Notamacropus eugenii: one gene and its partner. Each later gene encodes a partner of the first gene's protein in a complex. Links are inferred from orthologs where the notes say so. Each region holds a gene or a part of one and is shown on either strand. Other genes may lie near its edges.

What was found. Proteins that work in one complex are often made in the same cells at the same time.
Region 2: the proteins of integrin alpha-M-like (region 1) and PTN are in contact, whole or in part, in an NMR structure (PDB 8VOH), measured with the Homo sapiens proteins. The link is inferred for Notamacropus eugenii from reciprocal best matches to the Homo sapiens genes ITGAM and PTN. Residues at the interface, in NP_000623.2 of Homo sapiens: Pro273, Asp276, Arg277, Gly279, Val280, Ile281, Arg282, Tyr283, Lys306, Pro307, Arg309, Asp310, His311, Ala334, Ile335, Glu336, Gly337, Thr338, Gln339; in NP_001308315.1 of Homo sapiens: Val56, Pro57, Thr58, Ser59, Asp61, Cys62, Gly63, Leu64, Thr66, Glu68, Thr79, Lys81, Thr82, Gln83, Arg84.

Annotation. Positions count from the first base shown.
Region 1 is NC_092874.1:319,269,180-319,276,961, forward strand, and holds the start of integrin alpha-M-like, read left to right. Parts: upstream 1-4,530; 5' UTR 4,531-4,625; intron 4,626-7,782.
Region 2 is NC_092874.1:111,945,578-111,952,666, forward strand, and holds the start of PTN (pleiotrophin), read left to right. Parts: upstream 1-4,048; 5' UTR 4,049-4,504; intron 4,505-7,089.

The DNA of each region.
Region 1 (7,782 bases):
TCTTGGGCTACAAAGGTTTCTAGTGATCTCTCATTTAAAAAAAAAAAAGATTATTATTGATTGTGAACTTGACACAATCACAATTATTTCCATTTACAAGGAAAAAAATTTTAAACTGACTACATGATGCAGGAAATTCTTCCCTCCCACACACAATATACAGTTTAAGTTTTGGGGTTTTTTGTGGGGGAGTGGTAAGTAAAACTTAATATGGTAGTTCCAACAGTGGCCTCTTTGTCTATGCTACTTCTGCATTTTCTTCTGTTTCTTGAAATGATTTATTAACATTTTTCCTTAATTAAAATATAGCTATCACCACCCCTCCCTGACTCTCCCTTATCAAAAAAATGAAAAGTAAAAGCCCACCCCCAAAATAAATATGATCAAGAAAAAAAATACAAATTCACACATTAGCCATGTCTAAAAATATGTCTCATTCTGCACCTCTGGTTCACCATTTCTATGCCAAAAGATGGAAACTGGTTCACCATCAATCTTCTGGAGGTGTAATTGATCATTGTGTTTGTCATTCAAAGTTGTTTTTCTCAAAAATGCTGTAGTTCTTTCTAGAGAACTGTTCTTTTCCACCACTTTATCTGCTTCACCCAAGAGACGCCATGACTTGTAATGCCAATATGATGCCCATAGCAGCTGCTACGAATGTGCATATGTATTCCCAGGGTTTGTTTGCAAATTGTAATAAACTGTCCTCCTCCACGACAAAGCGGAAATATTTATTTGGAATAAGGCTATTAGCAGACTGGAAGGCAGGATTTACCAGTCCAGGGAGTGTCAGCATTTTTCTCTTTCAAGCCTCCCAGCTGGCAAGTTCCCTAGGCAAGTTGCTCCCTCAGCCAGTTCCTCTCTCCACCTGCTTCTCTCTTCACTTACATCTTTGCCTCCAAGCAATAATTATTAAATAGTTACTGATTCTCTTTTACCCTGGAACCCTGAGGGTCTTCCCCTCCCAGTTTGATTTTTTTGTTATTATTTTTTTATTAAAAGGGGCCATCCCTTGAGTAACTACCTAAAGAGGCCTATTCATTGAGTGGGTATATCTCACTCAAAGTGAGTATGTGATAAGACCTTAGCCTAAAATGGCCAGGGTCTCCCACTGCATCCTGGGCCATCTCCCCTCATACTGATGAATATCAGGTCACTGGACCCAGATGACTCTGGAGGAGAAAGTGAGGCTGGTAACCTTGCATAGCCCTCCCTCCCTCAAATCAAAGTCAACTACAAGTCATATCATCATCTTGATGTCATGGACCTCTTTGAGAAACGAAGGACAAACACATAACAACACAACAATATACACTGTTTATAATCAAAGGCACTTAATTGGTTTAGTGCCTAGAAGCTTTGAAATCAGCACTTAATTGGAAAGATGTGGGAATCCCTGTGGCCTAGAGCCTAATTGGCTCTGCATCAGGGTTCCATGTGAGGCCTATTAATGGGTGGGGGAAGATCTTATTTCCCATTGACCTTACAGACCTGAATCAGGGAGAGAGGGGGGACTTGTTTTCTCCAGCTTACCTCTCTTTTGTCTGGTAGCGTGCTGGTTTCTGTTCTCTCTAGTTCTGCTCACTTCATTAATTGTCATATTTGACAATTTGCTGGGTGTGACGTGGAACTCAGAGTTACTTGAACTTAAACAACTTACTAATGATTTCTTAATTGCAAAATCTAAATTTCTCAATCCTAAATTTCCTTCCTGTCCCCTCTGAAAGCCTATGCATTGCTGACCACCTCCTTGTCCTGTATTCTCTCTCCCTCTCTCTATCTCTGTGTGTGTGTCTCTATGTCTGTGTGTGCATGTCTGTCTGTCTATCTCTGTCTCTTGGTTTTCATGACACTTATCTTTTGATTTTCTTTATGCATGTGTAAGCGTAGGCAAAGTGTGATTTTTTTTTTCTGGAGTTCACTTTCCTAGTCTCAGGCTAAATTATAAACATCTGAAGGATGAATCTCCTTTGAACCCTGATAATTCACAGCTGTACTGAGTCATGTAGGTTTTTTACCTTCTGGCTCTGAGCCAATCAGGGACTTGGTCTTTTTTATATATTCTGGGAATTTGGCGTTTTACTTTGGGGGCTTGCTCATGAGAAGGACCTTTGGAATCCCTGGACAGGACTCTGAGTAATCCTTTGTTAAGATCTTCCCCCCAACTACTCAGATGTTGGTGTTCTCTCAGTCTGGTGATATATGTAGGTGGTTGTATTTCTTTGTTCAGACAGAGCCCTGTCTGTTGAACCTCCTTGCTAATTTCTCTGTTTGTGTTTTCTATACTCACTTCTTTTTACTTATCTGTAATTAAAGATTGTTGATCCCTTTGAAGCTATCTTTCCTTTAGAAAAGCAGATCAAAGAACCTGTACTAACAGGCCATCCTATGCATGCTATTGTGCTTGCTAATACAGCATGTCTGACTGATCCTTCTCATCTTTCCTTTGTTAGATTTTCATATAGGTAACACTAATTAACTGTGGCTGTTCCTTCCCAAACTCTGTCCTGGGCCCTCTTTTTCATTTTCTCAATATTCTGTTATAAACTCTTCTGCTCCCATAGATTAAGTGATCATGTCTATGCAGTTAATTCCTAGATCTTATATGTGCAGCCCCAGTCTCTCTCCAGAGCTCCAATCCCTTTTGAACTGGCTATCCCATGGCAAACAAGCAAGTTGTTTAGTCATGATCCAACTCTTTGTCACCCCATTTGGGGTTTTCTTGGCAAAATACTGGAGTGGTTTGCCATTTCTTTTTCCAGCTTATTTTACAGGTAAGGAAACTGAGGCAAATTGGGTTAAGTGACTGTCCCCAGGGTCACACAGTAAGTGTCTGAGGTCAGAATTTGAATTTAGAAAGATGAGTCTTCCTGACTCTAGGTCTGGTGCTCTCTCCACTGCACTACCTAGCTGCCCAAGAGGTCCCAAAATAATCTCAGATTCAACATGTCCAAAACAGAACACATAATCTTTTCCCCCTAAACACACTCCTTTTCTGAATTCCCTATTACATTTGAGCACTACAGCCTTCCAGTCACCTATACTTACAATCTCAGTGTCATCCTCAACTTATCACTTTCCTTCAATTCTATTTATGTACTCACTTACCAATTGTTGTTGCTTCTTTCTCTACAGTATTTCTTGGATACGTTCTCTGACACTCTAATCACATTGCCACCATATTAAACCAAGCCCTTATTACCTTTCTCCTGGGCTATTGCAATAAATTACCTTCTAACTGGTTTCTCTGCCTCAACTCCCTCCTCATACAGTCTGTTTTCTAGTCAGCTGCCAAAATGACTTTCCTAAAGTGCAGATCTAGCCATGTCACCATGAACCCCACCCCCCCAGCCCTGCCACCTCCATACCCAATAAACTCCAGAAGCTCCCTACTACCTTTAGGGTCAAAGATATACACGGAGAATGTTGCAAAGGATGACACTCACAATTTAGCCCTTTGTGGCACAGTGAATAGCACACTGACTCTAGAGGTAGGAGGACCTGAGTTCAAATCTGACCTCAAACACTTACTAGCTGTGTGACCCTGGGCAAGTCACTTAATCCTGTTTGCCTCAATGTCCTCATCTGTAAAATGAGCTGGAGAAGGAAATGGCAAATCCCTTCAGTATCTCTACCAAGAAAACCCCAAATGGGGTCACAAAGGAGTCAGATATGACTAATCTGAAAAAAAATCTTTCTAGTCTTTTTATGCATTATTCCCTTTCATATCCACTCTGCAGTCTAAACACATGTATGATAAAGCCTCTCTGTTTCCATCTTTGATCTTCTGCTGTCCTCCTTGCTTTCCCTCCTAAGCTGTGCTTCTTAAAATTCCTGTCTTTCTTCAAGACAACTCAAATACTGCTTTCTGCAGAACACTGTGGTTAATTTTTTTTTGTTTCTGTAATTATTTTGTGTTTTACATATTTACAGATATTATATCTCTCTTCTGCCTCTTCCTCAGTAGACTATAAACTTATTGAGGGCAGGAAAAATGTTTTAGTTATCTTTATTAATCCCAGTGTCCAGCCCTGGACTACACAGGGCATTTAAAAATTATTTGTTGAATTAATTCTAGACCAACTCCCATACTGGTACAGAAAGAAACAGTCTCAGAAAGGTGGGTTAACTCACAGTCAAATAGCTACTTGGTCCCATAGGCTATTTGCACTAATTCAGTATTTGTTTTGAAGTGTGGGGAAGATTTCAAAATACTTTCTGTTAAGTTGAAAAATGAGATTCAGTCCTTGGCCTGCATTTAAAGACCTGGGTTCCCTCACCACCATGCATATCACTTCGTATAATGGTCTCACTTATGTAACTCTACACCCCTAAAACTGAACTAAATCCACCAGTTTACTCCTAACCTCCAAGGTCTTGACCACAAGGTCACTTCTGCATCCTCTTTTTCATTTCCTTCTTTCTTGAAAGCCAAAGGAAATCATGCGTTTTGCCTCACAGCTTCTTATCTTTTGAGTGGTTTCCAGATACCCATCTTTGGGGGAGAGAGCCTTGGGAGTGAATCTGATGAGGGCTGGAAAGGAGGAGTGAGACCCCCCCACAAAGACCAGGGGCAGGTCACCTGGAATGAATCTGCAGACTCAAGTATTGTCGAGGTCAAGGTAAAGATTTATTACGCTTTTCAGTGGGCAAGAGTTCCTAGGGAACCTGCAACCTTAGAGGGATACAAGGAAAGTTTTTACAGGATATTCTATAGGAAACATGGGCCAAATATGCTAACTAGGTATTTGGGGGTGGGATTAGGGAGTAGTTAAGGAGTGGTTGGTTCTTAAAGGAACATGCACTTTTGGTATCTACTGTGGAGGCATTTTACACAGAGTTCATCAGGAAATAGCCCAAGATGGGACTTCCTAAAGGTGTGGTTTTAGGCCCGAAACATCACTAAGTCAACCAACGGTCAGAGCTGACTCAGGAATACCAGGCTACTCTCATCAATGTCTTCTTAGACAAGATAAATGTAAGGGAGTATACGTACGTCTAAGTCTAGGATACGTACGAATATTAGTCAGTGAGTAGTAAATGTCATTATGACCTAGTGCAGAGTCAGTCCAGCCAGTCCACAGCTAGTTCAGATTAATAAGTTCTATAGGTGTAGCTGGCTGCTATGGCAGGAGGGGAGATAACAGTTGTTGCTGGGGCAGGTTGTGTCCTTGGGCTGCGGAGACACTGCCTGGGATAGTGTTTTGAAGCTAGGGAGGGATGTGACTTTTAAAGAGAAATGTGATTTTAGAATTGGCACCCAAGTACCCCATTAGATTTGACCACTAGATGCACTGAGAGGCCTCCAAAACTCAGAGCCCATCTCCTTCGGGAAAAAAAAAAACAAAAAGAGTTATGGATAGAATATACCAGGAAGGTGGGAAGAGGGGCTAGAAGTCTAACATGGAAGGCAACAGTTGCTGAGAATTAAGTCATGAGGACCTATCAGAAGATCTGAATCAATCCTTTGATGCCATACAGTGGGAGTGGCAACTCCAGGAAGGGGATAGCAGGCCAAATGAGAGGGTAGTTCTGGGGACACTTTCTACATCGTTGAGGTCACTTTCTCCCCTACCCCAGTTAACAGTGGGTACAAGCTCATCAGTTCCTTATATACGACTTTCTATTTAGGTTTTATTTACCTATTCTGAAATTCTGTCAGCTAGCAGTACCGCTATGTGGTATATGCTTTATTTTTGAAATTTACGTGTGCACACACACACACACACACAGACAGACAGACAGACACACACACACACACAGAAAGACCGAGACAGAGAGACAGGGGAGATAGGAGACAGGAGGTAATATGTGCACTGAGTCAAATGAAGGATACTTCCTTTCACTAATACTGTGGGAATTAGAGCAAGAGAGAAATCATTATGGGCTGGAGTAGTCAAGGAAGCCCTCATGGAGGATAAGAGGCTTATGTTCAGCCTTAACAGATGGGATAGACTAGAGAGACAGAAACAAAGGCAGAGAGAAAGACAGAAGGACAAGTAGACAGGCAGACAGACACAGGAAGAAACAATCAGCAGTAGCCATGAGGACAAAGTAGAAGGGTAGTATTAAATTGTACAGTCCTGGCATAGAAATTATCATTCAAATATGTCTAAAAATAAATTGCAAGCCAGGTGGAGCAGCAGGCTTTTAGGCATTGAGATGTGAATACACTTACTCCTGTTTTTCAACCACCAGCCACCATTCTCAGAAGGACGGGATTTGAGGGAAGAGGCAGCTGAATCAAAGTCAATGCTTCCAAGCCCTTAGCACATTACCCAGTCCCTAGAAAACTTACTGACTTCACCAGAAGGAAAGGAGCCTCTACCTCCATCCATCCATCCTGCTTCTCCACCCATTGTGGCCACCAGACTGACCTTCCCAATTCACAACTCTGATCATACCACTCCCGGGTTCAAGATCTTCTAATGGCTCCCCCATTTTTCCATAAAATAACTTTCAAAAGCTTTAGCCTGGCTTTTAAGCATCTTCACAATCTATCCCCAACCTCAAATTCCACCACTCTGTTCAGACATTCCCTGTACACCAGTCAATCTAGTCTTACTGTCACTGAGAATATCCTCTCACCTCTGTGCTTTTGCTCCTGCAGTTCCCTCTACCTGGATCACCCCATTCTCTTCTTTCTGATTCTCCAAGTAAAACAAAAACTTTGTGAGGGCAGACTATTTTCATTTTTGTTTTTGCCCCAGCACCTAGCAAGTGTCTGACACAGAGCAGGTGCTTAAAAATGATTGTTGAATTGGAATGAATTGCATCAGCATCTCTAACCCTCCCTTGAGGCCTCTTATCCTCTGAGAGGTCTTCCTTGACCTCTCCAACCCAGTTCAACCTCTTCCTTGCTCTAATTCCTACAGAATTAGTAATCCAAAATCGGGAAAGGAAGGAGGAAGCCCCCCTAGGGGGCGGGGAAGAGTTCCTCTCTTCTTGCTCTCAGGTGTCTCTCTCTCACCCACTGCTGGACACCACTACCAGCTCTCCTCAGTGGGCGGGTTCCCACCACCAAAGCTCCAAGGAGACTGGAGGGGGGAGGGTGGTGCAAGAGTCAGGAGGACCTGAATTCAAATGTCACCTCAGACACTTGACACTCACTAGCTGTGTGACCCTGGGCAAGTCACTTAACCCCAATTGCCTCATCCTGGGTCATCTCCAGTCATCCTGATGAATATCTGGTCACTGGATTCAGATGGCTCTGGAGGAGAAGTGAGGCTGGTGACCTGTACGGCCCTCCCTCACTCAAAACAAAGTCAAGTGCAAGTCATGTCATTATTTCTCTGATGGCGTGGTCTTTGGCAACAAAGGACAAACACACACAGAATTAGTGAAAGTAAGTATCATTCATTTGACCTGTGGCACATCTTGCCTCCTATTGTTAGCTAACTTTCATGTATATTGGTCATGTCTCCTAGTCTGTAAGGGGCTGAGCCCCCTCGTGGGGGTCGTTAGGGACCATTCCAGTGACTGTGATCTCTGCTAGAATGTAAAGAAGTTCCTTGAAATAGGAACTGGACATTTTTGCTTGTTGATCTCTGTATCCCCAGCACATTGTGCTGTTCTTTGTACGTTCTTATTCGTCTTTTTTGGGGGGTGGGGCAGAAGTGGGGAGGATCCAACCTGAGATTTTATTAGTCTGACTATATGGAAACTCTTTTATCAGTATGGAAACTTCTTCATTTGACATTCAACAAGGGATCAGCAATTTATAGTTTTAGGAAGTTGTTAATAGTTGTTTAAGTAGCTACTGTGTACTGGGAAGAACTT
Region 2 (7,089 bases), about 210 Mb from region 1:
AAGAGAGAGAATTTTAGGCTAGAATGGTCAGGGAAAGCTTCCCAGAAGGAAGTGGTTCCCAAAACTCTGTCCTGAGCCCTCTTCCCTTCCCTTCTCTTTCTATTCTTTTTTTTTCTCTTGGAGACCTCATCAGTTTCCATGAATTTAATTGTCATTTCTACGCTAATGACTCCTAGATCTATATATCCAGGCTTAGCTTCTCTCCTGAGCTTCAGACCTGCATCGCCAAGTGACAACTGGAGATTTCAAATAGATTTCCAGAGAAATCTGAAATGAAAGATTTCCCAAATGGTCTTAGAGCAAAGCAATTGTTAGTAAATAGCTAATTGCTTGTGATAAAGTATAGACCTCTTTCATTTATAAAGCAAAAATCATATTGCACCCATAATCATACCTCAAGAAGGCTTCTAACCTGAGGTATTCAGGGTGATTATAAAGAAAGAATCTATTTAAGACTGGCACAAGTCTGGATTGATAAAAGTAAAGGATTAATGAATAAAGGTCATTGCTATTCCACAATTCCTTTATTCATCTCTAATTGGACAGTATGCCTTTGTAGATAAAAAAATTTACTGAGCATCAGGAATACCTGGTTCTGCCTTTGACCTATACTGGCTGTGTTACTGTGAGCAAGTAACTTAAGATCTCAGGATCCAGATAATTCTATCAGCCTCTCTGCTCATGATTATTTCCACTAGATCTTGTGTATAGCTCATTTATAAAATTGTTTGCATGATGTCTCTCCCTTTAGAGTGTGAGTTCCTTGAGAGTAGGGGCTGTTCTTTATATTATTTTGTATCACCAGTGGTTAGAATAGTACCTAGAACATAGCAGGGGATTAATATTCCTTTATTGACTGACCAGGCAACTAAGATTTCAAGTTATGCAGCTACTAGGCTGCATACAGATTACATTACATTACAGATTACATTACAGATTAAAAAATTTGCATTCCAGATTAAAAAAACAAATTAACTTCCTAGCAAAATCTTTTCCAAATGGTCCCTAATCTCTCACCCTTAGTAGATGAGCTTTCTTCCTACTATGAGGAGGCCCACTCAATGTGACCTACTTTAACATCCATTATTCTTTTCCACCCCAAAATTTTCTTTTATCTTTGCCCATCCAGTCTCCCTTCCCTGTGTTCTTAGAGGAAATGATGGTGCTTATTCTTAACAGAGAGGGCTATGTCACAGTCCTCAAACCTCTCAGGACCTTGCTCTATTAATTATTTCTTTTCTGTTGCATTTCCATCTTTCTCTCCCTAGTAATGGCTCTTCCTCTGGCAAAAAAAGCAAACAAACCTGGTTTCTGCTGTGCTTAACAAACATACAAAATCTTTCCCTTAACCTAGTTAATATGGTCACCTTGAACTTCATCTTTTCTCTCCCCTTCCTTTCCCTTCCAAATTTTCATCAAGCACAGTCCACTTTCTCCTTCCACCCCTGGTGATCTGGTTTCCAATTCCATCATCTTGTGAAAGTTGCTGTCTCCAAAGATACTGGTAATCTCTCACCCCTCTCCCCTAAATCTCATTGTCTTTTCCCAGTCTTCTTTCACTTTGACCTCTGAAGATTTTAACACGACTGACACATGTGTAGCAACATATCACCTTTAACACCCTTCTCATCAGTCTTCACCTGTCAAAATTCTATTCATCCTTGAACATTCAGTTTAGATGCCACTCTCTTAAAGAAATCTTCCCTGATCCTCCTAGTCATAGCCTCTTATTCCACTGAATTTCCACAGTACCTTTCTACTCTTTTATAACACTTGTAGTATTTTATTTTGTAATATATTTTTTGTGAACATCTTAATCCCAGATTATAAACTCATTAACATCAAGAACCATGCTATTTTATTCTCTGTGTGTCCCCAAGATGTTTAACATAGTAGCTTGTGCTTAACATTTTCTTAATATAAATATGTTCAACACGAATAAATAAATTAATAATTGTTCTTGGATGTTTGCATTCCTTTAAATTTTGCTCTGTTCTATTTACTTGAAATGAAAATAAATATTCATTCAACTCAATATTTTATACTTAGTTGTTGTTCAGTTATTTTAATATGAAAGAAATATAATTGAGTGAAAAGAGCATTAATCTCTGTGTCTGTTTTCACCTCTTTTTCTGTCTCTCAGACTCAGTCTCCGTCTCAGTCTCTGTCTCTTTCTCTCTCTAGTTAAGGTGCTCATATTAACACCATTAATACGCAGACCTGATCAGAAGTCCTAGAAAGCTCACAGAGCTCTTTCGTCAGAAGGCTTACCTCCTGTTGCGTTTTAGGACCTAAGAGACCATTCACCACCTAAAAGCTTGGGGGACAAAAGTGCTTCATTGAAAGCATCTTCATCCTTATCACTTCTGATTATGTAGTGCTTATACAATGCTTTAAGTTTTACAAAGCTCTTTACGTATATTATTTTGGGCAATCCCCACAACAACCTTGTGAGTAGATGATATTATTTCCATTTTACAGATGAGGAAACAGACTTCATGGTGAAGTGATCTGGGTCATAATGCTGGTAAATGACTGAGAGATGATTGGAGTTCAGGTCCTCCTGAGGTCAAGTGTCTCCAGGGCCTGATCCACTAAAGCACCCATCTGTAATCCTTCATGCTCCCCACCTCCTGGAGCATTTAATTGACCTTTCTGGCCCTTCAGACGTCCATCTACCTAGCCTTCTTTGGGACCTCAGTAGTTTTTTACATAGAGTATCACTGGGGCTCAGTCTACTATACAAAGCCAAATGGGAAATTCTTTAAGAAGGATTTGATAATTGAACTATTAGAAATTGCAGGAGGAAGGAATGATGGTGGTAATGGAATGAAGATATTTGGTCACTAGATCCATTTCTCCCCATCCTGTCTCTGTCCTTTTTCTCCCTACTTTATCAGGAAAATTGGGAGCACAGTGACTGTCACAGAATAAGGACTAAGTAAATGCTTGTTGATTGACTGGCTGACAAACTCCTGGCTCTGACATTTAGTAGCTGTATGACCATGAGCACATCACTTTATGTGTTTGAGTCGCCGCAGCCACAACTGTAAAATTGGAATAATCGTATTTGAACCTTCACAGGATTGTTGTTAAGAAAGCACTTTGTAAATAGCAAAAAACTACACAGAACCAATTTTTTTTTGTTTGCTTTAGACCAGACCATCAATCTAGGAAGCTTCCTGTGAGGAAGATCACCTTCTCCACAGGTCTTCACCTTCTCTGCAAGTTGTAGCCTGCGGATGCTAAGAGGTTCAACAACTTGGGCAGGGTCACACAGTCAGCATTTGCATCTGGGGTCTTCAGGATCTCTAGGCCAGCTCAAGGAGTGTCAAACATAGGACTCACAAGTGCTACCCTAGTTAAATTAAAATGTAATGGAGAAATATTCAACAAAAGAAAGAAAATGCAGTAAAACATTGATATCACTAATATGAAGGCAGGTAGATGCAGCAATGACTAGAATACCGGGCCAGTAATCAAGAAGATTTATCTTCAGGAGTTGCAATGTGGCCTCAGACACTTACCATCTGTGACCTTAGGCAAGTCACTTAACCCTTTTTGCCACAGTTTCTTTATCTGTAAAATGAGATGGAGAGGAAAATGACAAACCACTCTAGTATCTTTGCCAAAAAACCCCCAAATGGGATCATGAAGAGTTGATCATGATTCAACAACAGTAACAAAAATATTAAGATGCCGTATTCGAGGTCTATTAGATGCCAGTAGGAATCTTTATGTTTAGTGATCCCTAGTTCTATTTTGTTTGACACCAGTGAGACACCCTTCCTCTCAGAGTACTGAGAGATCACTTTGATTCCCTACTTATCAAAATCTGGGTAAAAAGCTCATTCCTCTGAATTGCACAAAGTTTCAGAGAAGAAATGTGTTGTCAAGACTTCCTTTTGGAATAATTATTAGTCAAGAAGTCCAATTTGCTATCTCATCTCCTTTTCCCTGTCCCTCCCCCCCCCCCTTTTTTTTGCTTCTAATGGGAGAGACTGCCCCTTGAGTGACCTGCTTTTAATAAGCTTTCCAACCAGCTCCCGACTTAAAAAGTGCCCTTGCTGGTGCTGGCTTCCTCACTTTGCCCACTTGCCTCCCTCCCTCCTTTCACTCCCTCCTTCCATTCTTCATTTTCTCTCTGGACTCACTCCCTGTCAAGGCTTAATTGAGTCCAAGGGAGGATCAGGTTCCCTTGCCTTGGAGTCCAGAAATCTTTCATAGCAAGTCCCAGCAGGCAAGGAAAGCCACAGCTGGAAAAGGGAAAAGGAAGAGACAAGTGAGTGATCCTGTCCAGAAAGGAGAGCGAGCAGCTGGAGAAACAGCTTCCTCAGCAGCAGCGGCGGCGGCAGCAGCAGCGGCGGCAGCAGCAGCAGAGGCAGCGGCGGAGGCAGCGGGGCTGTTCCTGCCCGATCTCCTGTCTCTAGAAACCTAGCAGCCAGCCTCATCTCTCTCCATTGACCAGCGGCCAAAGCAGGAGAGCGGAGATTCCCAACTCCAAGTAAGTAGGCGCAAAGGGAGGAATGTTGAATTTCCTCAGAGTTAGTTTGCAATCACCGCGCCTTTGGATTTTCTGACTGCAGCCCGAGTGTTTGGTGGTGTGGCTCCGCTTGAAGTAGGGGAGATGAGAGAGGTCTTACCGAACGTGAAAGGAAACTGAGGCAATCACGGGTGATAGCGCTTGTGGGCCACTTGGTATCTAGGCTTCATGGATATTAGTATAGTTTTAAGGCTGGTGCTGAGAACGCAGCCGGATTATGCCTCAAGTGACCTCATTAGTTCTTGAAGAAGGTTGGCGCTTAGCAGGTGGGTGAGGGGTAGTGGATGAAGGTAAGGCAGCCAGGACATAGAAAGGATTTTCTTTTGCAGCTCATGCCCTTGCGTCTCCCCAGTGCCACAGATGCTCCCTAGAAGTTTATCCTGACCAGTTTACCTCCGACCAGTTGGGGCAGGAGTTGGTGGGGGGCGCTCCATCCTCGCTCAGCCCAGTGATGCTTGCTACTGTTCACAGGGCAGCAGCTGCTCTTTGGCCAGAGTAAGGGCACCGAGCAGAGGCAGTCGGGAGGAGCGAGACACTTTCCTCATGCAGAGAGCACTGGATTTGGAATTCGAAAATCTAGGGGTTCCAGTTTGGGCCCTGACACTTTGTGCTATGATCACGGGCAAGTGTTGAACTTCTCTCGGCCTCATTTTCCTCATCTGTAAAGTGGGGATAACAGTATTTGCCTCTCCCACCTTCCTAGGTTGTTTGACGGAAAGCCTGAAAATTCATAGAGGAAGCGTGTATTATTAGTGCTATGATGAGGAAGCCTGGAAGCCACAATATAGAAAGATTAAGTTCCAAGCTTAAAAAAAAAAGATTGATTTCCATTCTCTTTATCTCCTCTTCTGATTGCAATTTTCATTAAGTTCCTCAAAGAAAGACTTGAATTCTTGATTCTTTCTTAAATACATAGACTCAAAGACTGGACACTTAGACAAACTCATTAAGTCCGTGTGTGTGTTTTGAATTGGTTTTGTTGAATAAATCAATGCGTCTAAAAGAAATAAAGGAAAAAACCCTGATTTTCTCCTTCCATTTGCTCCCTGACCCCATGAATTTAATGACTGTTTTGCTGTTCCCTCTGATTTAGTAACTGCTTTGAAAGTTTGGGCATACCTGGGGTGGGGGTTTGTGTTGAGGGAAGAACGCAAAATAAAGGATCTCGAAGTTCCATTGAAAGTTTTTCAACCTTTTGTTGTTGTTTCCACCCCTCACTGGTTTCTTCTTACCATATGAAAGCTGAAGGGATGTGGAGATTCAGGAGATATCTGGGAGTTTTTTTGAACTAATAGGATAATGGAGCAGTTCCATGATCTCAGCTAAGTGTGGATTTGCTGAAACAGCAGAATTCTATTTAACCACTTAATAACATCTTCAGGTCTTAAGGCTGATCAATATGTAGAAATATAGAAGGATGATAGATGGAGAGACAAAAAAAGGAGAAAAATAATCCCAGTATAGAAAAAGAAACTTCCTCTACCCTTTTCATTAAAAAACCCCCAAACTCTAGTGTTCTTTTTACAGACCCATGTGTGCTACCAAAGTAATGAAAACATATAAAAGCCTAACGGACCCAAAGGAGAATGGGGTAGACATGGTCTACCATGCAGATAGGGATCTGCTTTGAATTTGCTTCCCTAGGATTTCAGGTTCTTTCAGAACAGAAAGAAATACATGTAATTTTGTATTTGTTAGAGGCTTGGGATTTTATTTTGTTTTAGGATTAATGAATGGCTTTCGGATGTGTTTTGTTTAAAATGTGTAATAGTAATTATATCTATTTATATGTAATCACACATGTTTATACACACATATACACATGCATGCAGGTACATGTACACATGAGTCTTTACAATATGCACATATATATTCTGCATACACACATGCGCACACACATACATATATGATATACTCACAAAGTAATATTTGCATATGTACATGTATGTATTTATGGATACATGTATAATACACATATGCATATATCAGAGGTAGAATTTGAACTGTGCCACATATGTGTATATTGATATAGGTACACACATATTGTATACACACATATAATGGATAAAGTTCAAATTCTGCCTGTTCATTAAGGACAAGTCATTTAACTTCTGTGTGCCTTAAATACATCCTTAGGATTTATTTAGTAAGAGAGTTTTCTAAGTTAATGAAACTGTAGAACCTTCCTATCCATCTCTATTTGTGTGTCCATGTATGTGTATGTACTTTGGTTTAGATTTTTTCATTTGTATAGGGAATTCTCAGAGAGGAAAATCTCTCTGCTCATGCACATTGTTAACTTTTCTACAGCTTGCCATCTTTGAGAATTGCCTGGGACACTGTTAGATAAAACCACTGGCCCAAGATCACACAGTCAGAATGTGTCAGAAATAGAATTGGATCCTAGTTCTTCCTGAGAGACTTTATCTCTCTGGCTCCACAGCACTGCCTTCCATCTATGTATTCACAGACATCCTTCCTGTACTCTCACACACCATTAGAGGTTTTTCTCAAGAGATCTTATATCTTTGGGGAGTTTCTCTCCC